2 linked regions of the Notamacropus eugenii genome follow. The protein of the gene in region 1 interacts with the protein of each later gene in a biochemical or structural test. Links are inferred from orthologs where the notes say so. Each region holds a gene or a part of one and is shown on either strand. Other genes may lie near its edges.

The links.
Region 2: the proteins of NGF (region 1) and NGFR form a complex in vitro, tested with the Homo sapiens proteins (2 studies listed by BioGRID and IntAct, with this or other methods). The link is inferred for Notamacropus eugenii from reciprocal best matches to the Homo sapiens genes NGF and NGFR.

What each region holds. Positions count from the first base shown.
Region 1 is NC_092873.1:294,751,345-294,758,738, forward strand, and holds the start of NGF (beta-nerve growth factor), read right to left. Parts: upstream 3,010-7,394; 5' UTR 2,777-3,009; intron 1-2,776. UniProt on the Homo sapiens protein: Nerve growth factor is important for the development and maintenance of the sympathetic and sensory nervous systems.
Region 2 is NC_092873.1:351,342,403-351,349,691, reverse strand, and holds the start of NGFR (tumor necrosis factor receptor superfamily member 16), read left to right. Parts: upstream 1-4,270; 5' UTR 4,271-4,405; coding exon 4,406-4,447; intron 4,448-7,289. UniProt on the Homo sapiens protein: Low affinity receptor which can bind to NGF, BDNF, NTF3, and NTF4. Forms a heterodimeric receptor with SORCS2 that binds the precursor forms of NGF, BDNF and NTF3 with high affinity, and has much lower affinity for mature NGF and BDNF.

The DNA of each region.
Region 1 (7,394 bases):
AGGCTCTTCTCCTGTCCTCCTGGAAGCCAGGGGCCTTCCTCTTGCCCTGACTCCCAATTCCATCTCAGTCCAGTACTGAAGGGATTGCGTGGGAAACAACCGCATCAATCTGAGTCTGGAACCTGCCCCTGCTCCCACAGTGCTCACTGGGAATATTCGGGGTGGAATAAAAAGACTAGGGAAAGGAGTTTCATTTTCCCAGAAGTGATGAGGAAGGAAGGGTTACTAGAGATGCCCCAGGTTAAAGTAAGTTGGAAGGAGGAGGTATGGTTCCTTTGTTTTGAAGGGACTGGGCAGAGAAGGAGATAGTATTATTCCTCTGTGCTCAGGGCCTTGCACAAGGGTTTATAGGATTAGTCAGTCAATAAGCATTTATTAAGCACCTATTGTATACCAGGCATTGTGCTCAGAAAAATAAAAAAGACCCTCACTGTTCTCAAAACATGAAACCAACTATGCACCAGCAAGAGACATACAGGATAAATGGGAGATAATCCACAGAGTGAAGCATTGAGGAGGATTAGGAAATGATTCTTTTAGAAAGTGGAAGGGAATCCAGGTGGTGGAAATAAGGAGAGAGTGTCAGTCATGAGAATCAGTCAGATAAGATGTCTGGAGTTGGAAGGGATCTCAGAGGTCATGTTGTCCTGCCCCTGCATTTTAGATGAGAAAGCTGAGGATTGTGGATGTTAAATGATTTGCCCAAGGTTACACAGGTAATAAGTGTGAGGGATCATTTTCATTGCATCAACCTTCTTCACAACTGTTCATAGAATTAAATTGAACTAACTCCATCCCCCAAAAGAAAAAAGGGGAGGAAATCTTGTCAGCAAGGTTTCCCTATCACCTTCCCAGCTCCCAACCCCACTTAACACAGTCTTCAGGCTTCAGATCACCCGTTAGAGACATCTCATCCATTTCAAGTCTGCTCTCCACTGTTATTTTATCAGGAATTCATCAGCATAAAAATGTAGGGAATATCAGTGGGAATTCGGTGATTTGAAAGGAAAAAGGCTGATAATCAGCCCTCACTTCAAAGTAGGCCTCTGAATTTTACAAGAGTTTTGGGACTCCAAAAAAAAGTCCAGAAAAAGAAATACACCTTTCCTCCATGCCTGGTCCCTCCCTGTCTTTTTGTTATTGGGTGTTTTATTTTATTTTTATTTTTTCTGCTGACAGACAACTACAGTCTTCATCAATAGCCCCTGGCTAGGAAATGAAATGTGAACTTCCTATATTGATACTTGGCCATGGGAACAAAAGAGGCCCATCAGGTTGGCTGAATTTACTGCTCATTTGGGAGTCTAAGAGTTCACCTGACAAAGGGAGAGAGACAGAATTAAGGAAAAGATTATAAGATCAGGGCGTTGTCCAGTCTCTGGCACATGGTAGGCATTCAATAAATGGTTACAGAATTGAACGCGACCAGAAATTCCTACCCCCGGGGCAGGTGGGGGGGATGTCGCCGATCTCTGAATAGTCTTGGTTTAGAGTCTCTGGAGAAGTTGCTTCTGGCTTTTGGTTATCACTCAGTGCAATCTAGCTCCCTCATCCATAACTGGGAGTCCTAAGTAGGGATCATGATACACTAGTCTGTGAGTGCGGGTCTGAGGACATACGCAGAGCAACTGATAGTCATTTCCTTAACTTCAGATTACATATTGAGAATAGGATCAGTGAAGGTTTGACTTCTTTTGTTTCCAGCTGGGACGTGTACTTCGTTTCTCTTAATACCCCAAGCACCCAAAAGGCTTTGCTGTAATAGACTTTAATTCCTGAAACACCCATAAATTATCCTCCAAACTGTTACAACTTCCAATCTGGAACGACTTGGAAAAACCAGCCCGGCAAGCAAGATCTTTTTTTTTTTTATCTCACTTTTTAGGAGCACAGAAAGTTAGAGCAGCGAGCTCTTTTCATCATAATCTGGGAGTTATGATCTTAAGGAAAAGAACAGCCTCAGTCGGCCCGAACTTAAACTACTCTCGGCTGTTGTTGCCTGACCCTGAAGTCTTCTCTCTTTCCCTCTTTCTGTCCTCCTGGCTTTAGCTGAAGAAGGTGGTGCCACCTCAGCCAAGACTCCCCTGCACCTGGCAACACCCGGCAGGGAAGGATGTCCCAAGAAGGAGGAGCTGAAGCCTCGGCTATCCCTTCCAGGCACCTGAAGGAGCCCGTGGCGTTTTTTAAAATGAAAAGCCTGGCGAAGCCCAGCCCTACTCTGTTTCTCGACCGCACATCAAGCGTTCCCATCCCCAGAACTGAGCCTTTGACCTTGGGCGCCACCAGAGTCCATGAGCTCAGGAGGCGAGAGACCTGATCCCTCAGGGTCCTAACTGCATCTGTGGAAAAAGCTAGAGGGCGACCAGAAAGTGAGCGTTAAGCCGATTTCTGGGCTTTGAGCTGAGCTTTTCGCCTCACCTGGGGAGCCCCTAGGACCTCTCTGTTTTAGCGCAGCAGGGTTACTTTACGGACACTGCCCATTCTCATGCACTCGCTAGCAAAACACTCGTACCTGCCTCTCCCAAGCCTTCCGCGCGATCAAAGCCAGTGGCCCCCGCCCCCACCCCTCACAAATCGGTTCCTTCACTTGCAGGTTTCTCTCCCCAGGCGCCGCGTGCCCGCAGAGAAGCCTTCCCAGGGCCTGCGGGGTTCGCGGTGTGGAGCGCAGCTAAGGCGCACACCGTGGAGCCATCTGAGCCTGGCAAGAGCCGCGTACCCCCAGCCCAGTCCGGCTCCCAAGCCGCGCTCGCGGCAAAGCGCCGCCCGGGACACTCACCTTGGGGCCGTGCCTCGGGATGCCGGAGCCTAGGGGTTGCCCAGAGGGTCGGAGATCTCGCTGGACCCGCGTCCGTAGACACTGTCCCAGGCGAACACAGCCATCCACCCTGCCCCAGGTCCTCGCCGTGTGCGCCTCTGCCCGTGCGCTGCAGTGCCGGTGCTCTGGGGCAGTCCTGACTCACTCCGAGCTCAGCTCCCCTCGGGCTCGCAGCGCTTTCTGCTGGAGTGGCTGGCTCTCGCTCTCCTCCTTAGCATTTTTTTATTTTAGTCCCTCCCCTTTCAAGGCTGCTCAAAACCTCCTCCACCCCCCCTTTCCCGCCCCCACCCCCACCCCAGCACCTGCTCTGCCTGACTCTAAAGCGTTGTCTGCTCCTGAGGGGAAGGGTCGCAGGGTTAGTACAGGGTTCCGAGACTAAGAGGACTGATCGATCCCAGGCCAGTGCCAGCCCCAGGAAGCTCCAGAAGGGAGAGGAGTCGTTATCTCTCATTGTCACCACCTCAGGCAGTGTCTCTAAAAAAGGAGAGGGGGTGAAGGGATTGCACACAGGTTTGGGAGACCGAGGCTCTCAGAGGCACCCAGCGCTAGGCGTTGTGTTTGGGGAGGGCGGAGGTATATTTTTTTAAGCTTTCTGGTTTCCTGGTGGCCCCCTCCCTCCTCGACCAGCTTGCTAACTTCTGGCCACCTGAGCCTTGAGGGTGGGCATGCATTTCTCTGCAGACCTCTCTGACTTTCGCAGGTTGAGTTCTTTCCCGGCATTTCGGGGTTGCTCCCTAGGAGAGAGACCCTGAGACCCAGGCCCTGAGGGGTGTTCCCACTAAACGGAGGTCCCAAATGGAGCCCTAACGCAGGGGCTGCTAGCCAGGACTATAAAACTCGTGGAAGAGAGGCCCTGAGTTTGGGAGAGACATAGAGACAGCAAGCAAAGGCGCGACTGAGGGATGGCCACAGTCTATTTGCCAGGGACGGCCAATGCCCAGGTGAAGGGAATAGGTCCTCTGCCTCTAACTAGAGTGACACCCCCTATTGGCTCACACACATACACCTCAGACCTGGCCCGCAGCCCAATTACTCGACAAACCTCTCTTTTGAGCTGTTCTCCACACTCCTTTCTAGGCTCCTTCTGTCGCTTTGTGTGTATAGCGTTCTTGGTTAAACCCCCAATTTATGCCTTGTAGTTTCTTTTTGAAAGCCAAGTTGGAGGGGGTTTGGTCTGTTGCCTGGGCGCAACAAAGCCCCACGTGGCTCAGTCAAGAGCCACAGACCGTGCCAAGGGCCTGCTGGCACATCACCCACTGCTGTGCCTGGTTTTCACTAGTGTGAACGGGCCAGTTATCCCCCACCTTGCCCCCACAGACTGCGGGGCCTCTAGGAGTTCTATTTCATCCTAATCTTTGAAAAAAAAAAAAGTCGTATTCAATCCTGGCTTCACAGACTGTTAGATTGTGAGATCGGTCGGTGGATGGGGCAAGGGGGTCGCCTTAGATAGCCTTGTTGAAGTACAGCAAAAGGACATACTACTACTAGCCATATGTGTCTCTGTCTCTGTGGCTCTCTCTGCTCCCTGTGTCTGTGTCTCTGTATCGCTCTGTCTGTCTCTCTGTCTCTGTTTGTCTCTCTCTCTGTCTCCCCCTCCCCTCCTGCAGGTGGTGGAGATATTTTTGATTGGTCTGTCTTGCAATTCTGTCTCAGAAGCTCCAATGAGGTCTGAGAAGGGGAGGGAGGGCCGAAGTGCTCTCCTCTCCCGAGACCCTTTACCTGTCACACCGTGGTGCTACAGACTTTTCTGGTACTGGGCATAAAGGGAAGGGGTTTCCTTTAGCGCACTGAAGTAGCTAGGAAACTTGAGACCTCAGGAAAAGTGACATCTTTGATCGTTCACCGGCTTTCTCTGGTGCTTTTTGGGATCAGGTCTATCCTAACCTGCCCACCTGTGAAGGCTGAACCTTGGTGCCTCCACGGCCAGTTGGCAATGCTGATGAAGAAAGGAAAGCATTGGGATAGTGACCAAAGCCTGGAGAGGGATTCAGAGCTTACCTCAGTCTTTCTAGCTTCTGGAAACTAGGGGTACCAAAAAGCAAAACAATGTTGTATTCAGTGGCAAGGGCCCTCAATTTGGAGTCAGATCAGGAGACTCAAGGGTGCCTTTAGGGTAGCAACTGTTTTCTGTGTTTTCTTTGTGTCCTTGGTGCTGAGCACTGCCAGGTGATAACAGTGGATGGCCTCAGACACTTAGCTATGTGACTTTGGGCAAATTGTTTAACCTCTATTTGCCTCAGTTTCCTCATCTGTAAAATGAAGATAACAATAGCACCTCCCTCCCAGGATTGTTGTGAGGTTTAAATAAGATAATTTTAAAGCACTTAGTAGAGCTCCTGGCACTTAGTTAGGGCTATATAAATGTCAGCTATGACTTCATTATTTTTGTTATTTTAAGCAACTAAGGATAGCTAAAGATAACAAAGACAAAACCAAAACAGTCCCTACCCTCAAGGACACCTTTCATAATGTCTTTGTTCTAGTCTTATTCTATACTTCTTAACTAAATGACATTCCATTTCCACCCCTTCTGTGTTTGCCCAGGCTGTTACCCATGCCTGTAATGCTCTTCCTCATCATTTCTACTTAGCACAACTCCAAGCTTCCAAGCTCAGATAAATTGTGATGTACTGTGGGAAATCTATTCTTATTTCTCTGTCTCCTCCTCCTTGGAAATTACTTTCATTTACTTGATATATATCTCCCCTCCCCCAACATAAAATTAATTAGGGCAAAGTCTGCTTTGTTTGTCCCATTGTATTCCCACTGTCTAGTCCTGTGCCTGACACATCCGAATAAAGATAGGAATTAGACCTGTGATTTCATTGATATAGGGACATGATGGGGGTTTAATAAATTATTTTTGAATGAGTGGAGTGAAGACCCTTACATTCTATAGGAGGAAACAAGATGTCCATAGATAAAATGATCTGAAATAAATACAAAATAAATACAAATTGATTTGAGAAAAGGAGCAGTAAAGGCTTCTTGGAGGTGGTAGTACTTGACATTAGCCTAGAAGGGAGGTATTTATTGGATGGGATTTGATTGGACCAGAGCCTGGGGCCATGAATCTGCATCCTAGTTATACTGTTTACTGCCTTGTAATGGTGGGCAAGGCATTATACTTTTATGGGTCTCACTTTTGTCATCTCTAAAATGAGAGTGTTGAATGAAATTATAATTTCTTTCAAATTAATTCTAGCCCAAGTGTCCCATTATGCAGCTGGAAAAACTAAGGTACTGATACTCAGTACTTTTTCCAGAGTCTGGAGTCTAAAGAACTAAAGGCAATTTTTCATGTCAGAGTTCCTATTTATTCAGTATAACTTTACTGTCCCTTAGAAGCATAGATTCAGACCTGGGGCCTTGGAATTTACCTAATCTTGAGTCCTTCATTTTACAGATAATGAAATCACAGACCAGAGAGTTTAAGTAATTTGCCAAAAGTCACACAGGTAGTAAAAGGTAAAAGTGGGCATTTGAACTTTTTACTTCTTCTGAAGTCTTTTAACTTCAAATCCACTGCTCTTTGTGAAGCACATTAATGAATAAGTAAATTACTTATTGGGTAATATTCTCTTATTTCATCCTTTCCACAATCTTATGAGGAAAAAATAATGTAAGCATTATTAATACAAGGCTACAGATGAAGAGAGTGTGGCATGATGTATAGAGAGAGCCAGCCTCCGAACTAGGAGTCCTGTCTTTGATCCTTACTGGTGGTGGGACCCTGAGCCAATCATTAACCTCTCAGTATTTTAAGGAATTCTCTAAGACCACCAGCCGCAGTGAAGGCACCATTTTATAAAGTAGAAGGAATTTCTCATACCAGTGAAATGACAGGTCCTGTCCTTATCCCTTTATGGATGAAGAAAATGAGCTTCACTGAGGGTAAACGATCTAAAATTCCTCACCTAATATATGACACTGGTACTCAAAATAAAAGCCTTCCAAATACAAATTCATTTTATTAAGCCATGTGGATATACATGACGAGAGTGTGAATGGGGATTGAAGCTGATGTTAAATTACAGTGTCTTCAATTTTCCTTTATCATCATCATCACAGTTCACATCTAGCCAGTCCTTTAAGGTTTCCTCAGTTTTGCTCACAACAACCCTGTGAGGTGTATGGTACAAGTGCTAGACTCCCATGATGCCACTAATTGTGAGAGCCAGGATTTAAACCAGGGGCTTCCTATCACCTCCGGGATCAAATACAAAATTCTCTATTTGGGTTCAAACCATTCATAACCTGCCTCCTCTAACCTTTCCAGTATTCTTCCACCATACTCTCAGCTACCTACTCCTCTATTCAGTGACACTGGCCAGGGCTGTTCCTTGAACAAGATACTCCACCTCTTAGCTCCAGGCATTTTCTCTGTCTGTCCCCTTTGTCTGGAATGCTCTCCTCATCTCTGCTTCCTGGCTCCTCTAGCTTTATTCCAGTCCCTGCTAAAATCCCACCTTCTACAGGAAACCTTTCTCAATCCCTCTTAATTCTAGTGGCTTACCTTTATTAATTATTGCCTATTTATCCTGTATATCTGATTACTTGTTGTCTCTCCCGTTAGATT
Region 2 (7,289 bases), about 57 Mb from region 1:
CTGATCTGTAATGGGATTGGAAGAGTCTGGGAAGGCTGCCTGGAGAAGGAAAGAGAAGAATCTGAGCTAGGTCTAGAAATGATGAAACTATGAAAATATTAAAACCAGATCTCCCTTTTCTATTATAAATAACATGCTACCTCTGGGTAAATCTATCTGTATCATTGAATATTTCCCTATACCTTAATTTCTACTTTGATGCTTTAGATGTGACTCTGGTCTCACAAAGCTGTGTTAGTGGACCATAAACTGATGGCAACTTTAAAAGGCTGGTATAAAACCAATGACAGAATGTGCCTGCTATCAATGGACCTAAGGAAATATGGAGACTCTCATCACCAAAAGCTGGTTTCCATGGAATGTAATTTTTTTGTATGAGCCAGTCTTGAAATCATTTCCTAAGGTGTGGATAAGTTGTGATCTGTATCAGTGGAGGAGGATCCCACACTCATGAAATCATAGATCCTTAAAGTATTGAACTATGCTACTTGAACAAAAATTTAGGGATCCTACCTCTGCTGTTAGACCGGGAGCTCCCGAAATAAATAGGTAACAAAATATATAAAGGGTCAATACAAATGAATTTGGTTTAGATCTGATCACAAGACTGGTGGTGCTAAAATCTAGCTTGTCATCTTGACTCTGTCACTAGTTATATGACTTTGTATTCCTGGGCCTCAGTTTCCTCATTCATAAAATTAGGACCTTGGATTAGATGATGCCTAAGATCCCTTTCCAGTTCTCAAAGTCTATGAGTAATTTCCACTACAAGAGAATTCCACCAGTATGGATTATAGTCCCTTGATAATTTATAGTATTAGTTGCCCAAGATTCTTAGAGCTTAAGTGATTTGCCCACAGTCACACAGATAATAATTCTCAAAGGCAGAATTTGAACTCTCATCTTCTTTATTCTTAGTCCAGCACTCTATTTACTGTGGCAAGCTGTCTTTCCCATATAATACTCCTAATAATAATATCTATAAAAATTATGTTACTGCTTAAATGAGCACTGTTATCCAAACTATTAATAATAATAAAATAATAATAAAAATTACCTCCTATTGTTATTAACAATAAACAATCTTTCAGTAGAACACATTAAGGTTATATTCAATTACACATGACTCTCTCCATGACTCCACTGGAAATACCTTTGAGGAATGGAGGTTTGCTAGACTGCCTCTAACTACTTGTGTGACCTTAGGTCCTTGAATTCCCTTTTCTTATCATGGGAAAACTTCCCCAGGCAGAATGGGCCAAGGAGAACAATTTGTTCCAACGACCATGAAGAGGACTGAAGGAGGCACTGCGGAGCACTTAAGAGCTTGGTCAGACATTGAAGACTCCAAGGTTATCCATTGCATCTTGGGGTCAGAAACATCTTGACTTTTGTCTTGCAACTCAACTTTGGTGACTGGAAAAGAGTGAGGATGATGATTTTGTGCAACTCTGCTTCACTTAAATCCAATTCACTTGCAAGTCAAGACATCACCCCATGATGTCCTTTTTGAAAACAAAGAATGGGACAACAACATCACAGGCCCTCATCTGTAAAATTAAGATGTTGGACCAGATGACCTCCAAGGTCCCTTCAAGCTTTAAATCCATGATTCTGTGCTCTTATGAACAGCAGTAATATGTGTTATGATGTCATATTATATTGTGTTATTAATTAGTATGCATTATTTCTTTCCATGAAGTCTGCACTCAACCTACACTCACCTACTTGCTATTTCACACAGAGGACACTTCATCTCCCAGCTCCATGCCTTTGCATCTGCTGTACCCCATTTCTGGAATGTAATTCTTCCTCACCTCCACCTCTTGGAATCCCTGGTCACCTTCAAGATTTAGCTCAAACGCCACTTTCTACATGAAACCTTTCCTAACTCTGCCCCTAGTTGCTATGACCCTCTCTCTCCATATCATCTTGTATTCATTTTGTTTCTTTTCTATAAATACTTATATATGTTCATGATCTCTTCCCCTTTAGCAGGTAAGCTCCTTGAAAGCAGGAATTCTTTCACTCTTGTTTTTGTATCCCCAGTGCTGAATAAACTTCCTGACACTCAGTAGGCATTTAATAAATACTTGTTGATTGTGAAAATCAGTATTAAAATTAATGTTATACTGTCAATATGGTTGATGACACTGTTGATATTAGCTATTGGGTCAGTATGAATGTCGTACTCTCACACTACTGCTAGATGGCATAGTGGATAGAGTGTGGGCCCTGGAGTCAGAGTTCAAATCCAACATCAGACACTTACTAGTTGTGTGACCTTGGGCAAGTCACTTAACCCTGTTTGCCTCAGTTTCCTTATCTTAAAATGAACTGGAGAAGGAAAAGGCAAGCCATTCCAGTATTCCCAAATGGTGTTACAAAGTCAGACATGACTAAACAACAACATTCCCTATCCTTCATAACTTCCCATATACTTCATCCACTGACAGGAACAACATACCCATAAGAGTAACACAAGGGGGAACAGCTGCATCTGTTAGAAATAAGAAAGAAGGAGTAGAATTTTCCTTCCCTTTTTTAAACCCATGAAGGGCTTCCTTAAGAAGGTTTATCTATTCTATCCTCCAACCTTTGGCTCAGAGAATCAAGCCCATTAATAAGTGGAATATTTTTGGGGGGGAACAACGATAAACAGAAAAAGTTTAATCCTCCCATCAATAAATTTGGTGCTTGGAAAAGCCAGTGAAACTAATTCTTGTTTCCACTGATCTTTCCCCAGGGATTCTGAGTTCCTTTCATCATGTGACGATGTGCTTGGAATCAGAAAAATGGATTCAAACTCTGCTTCTGACACAAGTTGTGTGACCATAGGCAGGTTGCTTAACCTAAGTCTCAGTTTTACTCATTCAAAAAGTGGGAATAATTATACCCATAGTACCTACCTCAAGCAAAGGGTGGGTAAGATTGCTAATGTCATTTTGTGTAGGCAGAAATTGAAATGAAAGCATGTGAGGGGGATAAGAAGAGGGGGGGTAATTCTCCCCTTTAAGAAGGCAAGACTAGTCCCACAAGTAATAAACTAGCACAGTAACAAGTGTCAAAAGCACAAAGGAACCAAGACTTCTTGTCCTTTGAAACCCCAACTGAAAAGGGAATGTGAGTCCTATTAGCTGTGCAACAACTGGCAAGTTGTTTTGCCTCTCTGGATCTCAGCTTCCTCCTCTGTAAAATGGTCAGACTAGGTCCCATGCTGCTCTTAGATTCTAGCTTCTGTGAGTCACTGGTGAAGAGCTGGTCCTCATGTTGTCCTACTGGTTCCCTAGCTTGGCCCCACCTTTATCACAAGGGCTTAAAAAGGCTGGAAAGGGCAAGAGGAGAGGAGCCTCAATACCTGTTAATGTCCTAGGGCCAGATTGGTGTAGCTCAGGGGTGTAAATGCCTACTTGGTGATTCCTGGTTCTCACCTGTGTGTCACTGAATGTGTATAGTTTGAGGGAGGGACAAAGGCAATGTCTGATCGCTAGACTTCTGGAACCGACCCAGCTGTGAGCAAAGACAGAATTCAGTCAATCATTGGGATCCACTCCATCCCTATATCCATTCTTCTCCCTCAGAATTCAGATGACCGACTACATCCTGGAAGGGAGACTGAGGAAGGGAGGGCAAGAGATTTCCACTTGCCTTCTTCCAGAAAGGCCTTTGCATAGAGAGAGAACGGAGCTTTTGCCTGGGCCAGGAGGTAGATAAGTGACTGCCCAGGAGGTGGGGAGGAAGAGACCTCGAGTGGCGGGAGAAGGGGGGACGACTCTAATCATAGGTGGGGAGAGAGCAACAACAACAAAAATAAACAGAAAAGAGGTGAAAAACATCAGGTTGAGGACAGGCAGAGAGGAAAGGGCAGGGAGGGACTGTAGAGAAGTAGATACTGAGATACGAAACAAGGGGAGAGAATAGAGGATTGGCAGAGCGACAAGGAGACAGAACTGAAGCCAAGGGATGCAGGGTAGGAGAGAGATAGAGAGGCCCTGAAAACACAGCACAGGTTGGTGACGGGGAAAGAGGAAGCTCGGGACAGGGGATGGGTTGTAAAGGGCTGGGGTGGGAGTGGGAGGTGGGGAGAGTGATGGAGGAGCAGCTCGGCTTTATGGCCGGGTCTCCCCTGCACCCTCCCCTCCCCACTCCAGGCAGCGGGACTGAGGGGTGGCGGGGCGGGGCAGTCACTGTTCCGGACGGGTGGGCGGTATGGGCGGGGAGGGGGCGGGGCCGTAGCCCTGGCTCTCCCGAGTACCTCCTGCCAGCAGTCAGAGGGAGCGGAGCCTCGGCTGGCTCCTGGCGAGTGCAGAAGCAGGACCAGAAGGACTGAGCTAAGGAAGCTGGGTGGGGGAGGGAGGGAGGTGCCACCAGGCACCCAAGGGTGGTCTTGTCCACCTACCCAGCCATGGAAGGGTCGTTCCGCTTGCTGCTGCTGTTGCTCTTGGGGGTGAGTTCAAATGGGAGGTGTCCTCTCTTCGGACGCACTGGGGCTGGAAGGGCGAGCAGAGCCCGCGGATACTAGAGGGGAGGACGCTAGGAGGGAGAACTTGAATTCCAGGGCCACTGTGCGCTGGAATAGTGTGGGAGAGACTCGGACCGACGCCTCGGTCTTTCCGAGGAACCTTGGAAGAACATTGATGCCTGAAGGGACTGGGATGCCTGTCTCTTAGAGAAGCGCGTGTTTGGAGGAAGGGGGCAACTCAGATGCCTGGGTTCTCCGGAAGCGGAGGGAGGTGTTGAGGTTCAGCTAGTCAAGAAGGGGACTCGGGCGCTTTGGTCCCTGGAGTGGGGTCATGAAGGGAGAGAGATAGGAGAGGTGCTCCGACTCTTCGGTCCCTGGAAGGAGTAGGTTGGCTAAGGTAGAGGGTATTCCGACGCCTGGATCACCTAGAGGAGCTTCGGTTGGACCAACGAAGCAAGGGAGCGGTGGAGAAGGGGATGGGGTGGGTGGGGTAACTGAGCATCGGGACAGACGGAATGGGGGAGCAGGCTCCAGCGATAAGCTTCAGTAGAGGCAGTGGGGAACGGGAATTGGGGGCTGAGGGCAGGCAGAAGGTATCGAGGGTGGGACATCCGACAATAGGGACAGGGCAGGACAATGAGGGGAGGGGAGGGGGATGCGCTAATGAACGAAACCGGATGCCTACAGAGAAGGGGCGTTGGAGGCGCAGATAAGCAAGAAGGGGGTTCATGAAAAGAGTGATGGAGCAGGGGAGGGCAAGGAGGAAAGGAAAGCCGAAAAGTGGGGGCAGAGAACAGAGAAGGGGGCTGAAGGAGCAATGAAATGGGTAGGACCAGAAGGCTGAAGGTGAGATCAGAAACTAAGAGCATGGGAGCTAGTCAGGACAATTTTCCTCTATGACATACCTAGCTCGGAGATTGCAGATGGAGAGGGGATTGGGGCCCGAGTTCTCCGTTCTCTTAGGGCATCACCGGTCACTCTTCTCGAAATCCTTCCAACTCTCTTCTCCCACTCCCATTTGGCGTGAGCTTCCCAGAGCCCTTCCTGGTGGTGGGCTAGGGGGTAACGTCCACAAGCTGGTTTTAAGCAGAAAGAGAGGCAAAGAAAGGGGATTCCTTGACCTGTTGTCCGGGTGCCCAGTAAAGGACAGAGAAACTGAATTGTCCCACGCACCAAATAAGGTGGGTTCCCTGGGGGGATACAAGCTAAATCTGGCTCCCGGGGTTTAATGAATAAAGTGCCGAACCCGGGAGGTCGGTGGCCAAGAGAGGGCGCTCAGGGGAGAGTGAAAATGGGGCAACCCCAGCCGCTGCAGTCCATTCTCGTTTCATCCCATCCCATTCATTCCCTAAAAAATTAGTCCTGCTCTGCTCGGTGTAGCCAGTCTACAAATCCTACAACTTTGTCCCGCACACTTCTGTTCCACGCTATCTGAACTAGCTCCGCCTTCCCCTAACGGGCTCCGCTGCCTGCTGCGGGAAAGATTTAACAGTCTCAGGAGTCTACTCTGCTCCTAATCTTGGGAGTTGGTGGGGGCGGAGGGAAAGCTTGGCATTCTACCGGGCAAAGCCCTGGTCCCTGGGGGATAGAAAAGAAGCCGGGAGAGAAACAGAAGAGAGAGAAGACCAACTGGGCTGACGACTGGATTTCTGGGTCCGAGGCGTCCTCTCTAAGAGTAGAGAAATCGGACCTAGGGATGTCTGGCTTCTGAAAAGCTAGCCAGGGACTGGGGATGGGGTGGGATGTCAGGATCTTCTGGATCCCTCTCTTGCTGAGTCATGGGGAGAGCTGTCTGAGGTGAAGGTCAGCGTGTCCCCCACAAAGGGGCCCCAGTCCAGCAATTATTGGAACTATGGAGCGGGACAGTCAGATTAGTCTGTATTCCTAGGTGCCCACTCTGAATCAGGCTCTGATAGCTCTAAATCAGGCACAGGGGCTGAGAGAAAGGCAGGTGAGGATTTCTTCTCAGACTCTACAAGAAAGCACCTTCAATTGGCCTGGTCCCCGAAACTACACTCGCAGGGTTACCTTCTTGCAAAATTGACCCTATGGGGTGGGTGTGGCCAAATCACGAAAGGCTTTGAATGCCTGAGACCACACTTTCCCTGGGGCCTCCCAAAGCACTTTGTTTTGTATGGCTCAGATGGCATTGATCTTGAGGCTGAAGTGCTGGAAGGGGGGAGCGGGAGTGAATCGTCTGAGGGAGGTGGTGGTAAGTGTCATCGGGGTGACTGAGGAATACCCCCCCCCCCCCCCCCCCCCCCGAGAATGGCCAGATCTGACCTAGGTGTGGGGCTGAGGTAGGATCAGGGCTGAACTACCACCAGGCACTCCCAATGACCACTCCTTCTTCGGCTATCTAGCTGTAGGCTTTAACCAGAAATGGAGTTCTTAAGCTTTTTGGGTGTGTTGTGAATGCTTTTCACAATCTGGTGAAGCCCATGGACCCCTTCTTAGAATCACCTTCTTAAAAAACTGAAGGAAATGCAAAATTTTTATTTGGAGGTTTTTTTTTCTCATTCAGGTCATGGTTTCCCTCCCCCAAATCTATCCCTAGGGGGTCCATCGGCTTCAGGTTAAGAACCTCTAGTTTAGAAGATTAACTTATCTTGTGAACAGAGGTTGAGAAAAATTGGGCCTATTTATCTCTCCTCTCTCTGGGGTTTATCTGGGCGTCTCTGGATGACAGATGTCTGGGGGAACTGGGTGGGCAGAGAAGAGTCCAGGAGAAGAATTTTTTGCTATAAAAGACCAATTATTTCCCAGATTTCTGAGACTAGAGGGGAGATATGAATCAGAAGCTAAAGGTCATGTCAGATAGGTAGCT